Rattus norvegicus: one gene and its partner. The protein of the gene in region 2 purifies or fractionates together with the protein of the main gene of each other region. This does not show direct contact. Links are inferred from orthologs where the notes say so. Each region holds a gene or a part of one and is shown on either strand. Other genes may lie near its edges.

The links.
Region 1: the proteins of Cep76 (region 2) and Cep97 purify together in Homo sapiens (co-immunoprecipitation; 4 studies listed by BioGRID and IntAct, with this or other methods). This does not show direct contact. The link is inferred for Rattus norvegicus from reciprocal best matches to the Homo sapiens genes CEP76 and CEP97.

What each region holds. Positions count from the first base shown.
Region 1 is NC_086029.1:58,178,708-58,181,265, forward strand, and holds the end of Cep97 (centrosomal protein of 97 kDa), read left to right. Parts: intron 1-908; coding exon 909-1,598; 3' UTR 1,599-1,816; downstream 1,817-2,558. UniProt on the Homo sapiens protein: Acts as a key negative regulator of ciliogenesis in collaboration with CCP110 by capping the mother centriole thereby preventing cilia formation. Required for recruitment of CCP110 to the centrosome.
Region 2 is NC_086036.1:63,449,326-63,452,100, forward strand, and holds the end of Cep76 (centrosomal protein of 76 kDa), read right to left. Parts: intron 1,756-2,775; coding exon 1,538-1,755; intron 1,373-1,537; coding exon 1,234-1,372; 3' UTR 651-1,233; downstream 1-650. UniProt on the Homo sapiens protein: Centrosomal protein involved in regulation of centriole duplication. Required to limit centriole duplication to once per cell cycle by preventing centriole reduplication.

The DNA of each region.
Region 1 (2,558 bases), on a different chromosome or scaffold from region 2:
TGGGGCCAGAAGTGGGTGTGGAAACCTTGGACCTGGAGGTTCTGATCTGCTGCATGGATGTCAGGATCTGCACGCTGGTCCAGAATAGCTTGTGTTCTTAACTACTGAGTCTTTTTCCACCCTTGCATGCCTTTTTTTTTTTTTTTTTTTTTTTTTTTGGCTGTTTTTTTTTCCTGTTGTTGTTGTTGTTGTTGTTATTGTTGCTTGTTTTGTTTGTTCTGTGAGACAGGGTTTCTGTGTAGCCGTGGCTGTCCTGGACCTCACAAATATCTGCCTGCTTCTGCCTCCCAAGTGATGGGATTAAAGCATGCGCCACCACCGCTCAACTTGCAATTCTTATAGTAAAAATTGGAAATTATTTTTATAAGATATGAAGGGTCATATTGTCAAGAACTTGGGATACTTTTAGTCATTTTAGAAAGTTATAAATAGGGGTTGGGGATTTAGCTCAGTGGTAGAGTGCTTGCCTAGCAAGCGCAAGGCCCTGGGTTCGGTCCTCAGCTCCGGAAAAAAAAAAAAAAAGAAAGTTATAAATAGCACATTTTAAAATAATTGGAAATTCTATGTCTGCATCTGTTTCTAAAATAGATTGATTTTTAGAAGATCCACTTAGATTCAGAGGCGCTAATTGACCCTTACCATCTTAGATGTCGGTCTATATTTTGCACATCATCGAGCCCTTAGTGAGAAAGATGCTGTCTTGCTTCTCCAGTGAAGCAGGAGAACGCTGTGGCCTTCTTTGTGCCGTGGATTGCCCTTTGCTACCAAAGACACAAAACTCTGCCCTGAGAAGAGGTTAGGGGAGTAATGAATGCAGGCAACTGCGTGGCTTCTGCGGGGGAAGGTCCGGACGTTTAAGAGAGACGGGATGTGTACTTTATAGTAAAACTGTGTCTCCTGGTTTACAGGTAAGGGCTCTACAGGCTTGGCAGCAGACAGTGGAACAGCGTCTAGTTTCCTGGCATTCTGATGTGCCTCCTATATCAAGTACTCTGGTGTCACCCAAGCCTCCGTTACTTCCACAACATCAGGACCCCTCTTCCGATCAGAATTCGGATTGGCTCATTATTGAGGATGACGCTCCTCAAGAGAAATCAGTGCCGGACTTTCCCGACTCTGGTTTTCACTCCTCCCTGACAGAACAAGTTCACTGTTTGCAGGATTCTTTGGATTTTGAAAAAAGTTCGGTAGAAAGCAGCGAAAACTCCGCGTTGGGGAATTCCGCTGACACAGTGAAATACGTCAAAGACCCAGACTCAGAGGCCACAGCTGAGGAGCACAGTGACTGCAGTAAGGAAAGCTCCACCAGTGAGCAGGATAACACCCTGCTGCAGCAGTATTTAGCTTCAGTCCAGCAGCTGGATGACGCGGATGACAGGGCAGGTCCCGACGATATGGCGGGAGACAATAAGCGTCTCCTAGCTTGTTCTCCGGAAAGGTTGGGTGCCTCTGACAGTGAGGCTCATAGAGCATCTCCTACTTTACAGGAGGAAATTAGCCAGACACCAGAGAATTGTAAGTTAAACGAGGAAGTCCAAGGGCAGCCTCCAGAATGTGACACTGCATTTCAGGTGCTGCAAGTGGGTGTCACTGTGTAGCCTGTCTGATTAACTGGGAAGCAGAAATTCCCTTTGATTTTCTGTTTTCACTTTCTTTTTGCAGGGGAGCAACCCTGTACCCCATTTTGTTATTCTTTAGCTACAACTTGTATTCTTGTCCCACAGTTTTTAGATATTAGCTGTTGAACTACGTATTCATTTTTGTTGTACTACTGTACTAAACAAAATATTAAAAGGAATATGCACTTTATCTCTCAATAGTTACACTAATAATGTTTCCTTTACATCTGTACTGCCTTTCAGAAGCCGTTTCTTGAAGTAGCTTGGTTATTTGAATAGGAGAACTTAGTTCTTCCTAACTACATAGTAAGGGATATAATACGTAAGACATGACTAGGATGAGGGCTATGGACAACTGGGCAGTCTCCTTGGACTAAAACCATGGTTTTTTCACCCTCTGAGTTAAGGAAAGCCTCTGTGTGTGTGTGTGTGTGTGTGTGTGTGTGTGTGTGTGTGTGTGTGTCTTGTGTGTATGTGTATGTGTGTGTGTGTTGTGTGTGTGTCTTGTGTGTATGTGTGTTGTGTGTGTATGTTGTGTGTGTGTCTTGTGTGTGTGTGTTTGTGTGTGTGTGTTTGTGTGTGTGTCTCTGTGTGTGTGTTGTGTTGTATGTTGTGTGTGTCTGTGTGTTGTGTGTGTGTCTTGTGTGTATGTATGTGTGTGTCTGTGTGTGTGTCTGTGTGTTGTGTGTGTGTCTGTGTGTTGTGTGTGTTGTGTGTGTGTGTTGTGTGTGTGTGTGTTGTGTGTATGTGTGTGTGTGTCTTGTGTGTGTGTGTTGTGTGTGTGTGTTGTGTGTGTTGTGTGTGTGTGTATGTGTGTGTATGTGTTGTGTTGTATGTTGTGTGTGTCTGTGTGTTGTGTGTGTGTCTTGTGTGTATGTATGTGTGTGTCTGTGTGTTGTGTGTGTGTCTTGTGTATGTGTGTATGTGTGTGTGGTGTGT
Region 2 (2,775 bases):
CAGCTCAGAGGTTGTGTTTGCCGAGCATGGAGGAAGCCCTTGATCTAATTCCTACTATCACCAAAACAAAACAACCCTCTGCACAGAAATGCAGAGCAGACAGTCACAACAGCCATCACTAGCTACAAGTCGAATTCCTTTAGTTTTTAATACTTACTTTTGCCCTCTTAAAATGTTTAAACTTTCCTCGATTTAAAAATATAAGTTCACATTTTCTCCATAGCCTCTTATGATTTTTCCCACGACACTAATCACATGTAGGCTGGTCGGTCTCTTTCTTGGGTTTTTTGTTTGTTTTGTGAGGCCGGGTTCTCTGTGTAGCCCTGGCTGTCCGGGAGCTAGCTCTACTGACAAGGCTGGCCTTGACCTCACAGAGATCTGCCTGTTTCTGCCTCCCTAGTGCTGGAAGTAAGGGTCTGCACCACCACAGCCTGGCAACAGGCTGATGCTTTTGTCACAACAAAAACTAAAGAGCAGCCAGTATCGTGACAATGACATGTAATAAGTCACTTTCTAAAGTGCTCAATGGATTTTAGAAATATCCATAAATTATTCATAGTCCATATCCATGTGCGATTTGTTATTAACATTCAGCATTTTGGTTACCACATTCCTTTTGTCGTCGTTGTTTGTGTTTTGGAGTCTGGTTCTCACTGTATAGCCCTGACACTTGCTATGTAGACCAGGCTGGCCTCTTGTGGAATTAAAAGTGTGTGCCACCACACCTAGCTTTTTTCTTACATAAAAGTCTTCACAGATTTCTGGGAAGCCTCATATACCCCTAGTACCACACAAAAATGATTAATTTAGCAAAATATATCTTCATCTATGTAATAAATAAACTATTATGAGGTTAATTTCTCCCAATTCGTGTAAAATAATCTTTCATTTATGAAAAATAATGACCATTTCGATTTAGCTATGGCTTAAACCATTAGACAAATCCCTTTACTTACTTATTAATATGAAGTAGCAGATCTTACATTCACATTTAAACTACTGAGTCCCTCAAAACAAAGTACCATTTATTATCATACCCTTAATTCTACTAAATTCAGTACAAATTTTTATCCTTAATTTTTAAGTACATACATGATATTTTAAAACGTTACCAGTCAGATCTATACAAAACAATGACATCCAAAAGGCTGATTTTAAATTAAGAAACCTTCACACAGCTATCCATATACAATTCTAATAAAACCCAGGAATAATTCTTAGGAAATGTTAGTCCTATAATACCGAGCGATATTTACAAGCAAACATGATCCAAACAGCACACGCAGACTCAGGGTAGGTAAACACTCGAACACGAACTGCCAGTCGCACCTGGTCTCCACGGCAACAGATTATTTCTTCACAAAAAGGAGACCTATTTAAAAAGAAAAAACATTTAAGGACAAAGTCACTCTAGAAGCTCCCATGCATATATGTTGTCACAACTAGCAATTAGCAGATTAATTGCTTTCTAAATTCTTAGCACAAAAATATCTATGAATTAACAAATTTTTAAATTATGAATTAACAGAATCCTTACCGAAGACAAGTGGCAAATGCACGCCTTGCATTTCTGTACACAAAATGTATGGGGAACCCTTTAAATGTGTGGCCATCAGGTACAGCCCTCCTTATGGCATCCTGGAATTCTTCGTTGCCTGCAGATATGCTTGTCGTTCGCTCAAATTCATATGAAGCCAAAGCTGGTGATAAAAGATAGGAGAGCTGGTCTTCCCAGACAGTAGTGAGGCCGAGGTCCTATATCAGTTAAGAATGTGAAATACGTTAACATTTTAAAGACCAATCCATAGAAATGTACTTTTTGCTATTGGGCAGGGAACATGGCCTAACTGGGCATAGACTTTGCAATCCTCCTGCCGTAGCCTTTGAGTGCTATGATGTAGGAATGCGCACTACACCTAGCGAACTGCTCACTCTAGCGTGCGTTTGCTCACTTTTGTTGCTCTCAGACAGTTTCATACAGTCCAGTCTGGTATCAACCAAGTGTGATCAGAGCGGATCCTTGATTTTCCTGTCTCCGTGTTCCAAATGCTGGGATTACAGACATGCATAGTCCTATCTAGCATCAAGGATGGCCTCCATTTGACAAGGTTCTCCTGCCCCTGTGTCCTGAGTGCCAGGATTACAGATATGTGCCACAGTGACACGTGCTAAGAAGAGATAGGTTCTTACCATGTAGCCCTGGAGGGCCTGAAACTCGGGGATTTGCCTGGTTCTCCTTCCCATGGTTTCAAGATTTTTCTTCCTTTCTTCTTTTAAAGACAGAGTGTCTTCTACATAGCCCTAGCTGTCCTGGAACTCAGTATGTAGACTACTGTGTCCTCTAGAGATCGGCCTGCCTCAGTCTCCCAAGAGCTACGATTAAAGCTGTGTGCCATCACACCCGCCTGAAGAGACTTTTTAAAGCTGTCCTAATATCTCAATTTCCTCTTAATTATGCTAGGGCTAGATAGAAATAAAAATAAGAAGTAACTTCTAAGAAATAGACTATAATAATTTGCTATAAACATACTTTTTATCCATTATTGCATAAAGCATTTAATATTTTCAGCATGGTGCTAGTAAGGAGAGTACTTATTTAAGGCTCAGAAGTATAAAATAATTACTCATTAGGATAGAATACACAGAATCATCCTAATATGGAATTCATAATAAAGTAAATTTTGGGCTATATTTGTTTAGATTGGTTGGTAAGGCATGGAGCCCTGGGTTCAATCCCCAGCACTACAAAAAACTAGGTGTAAAGGTGTGTTCTGT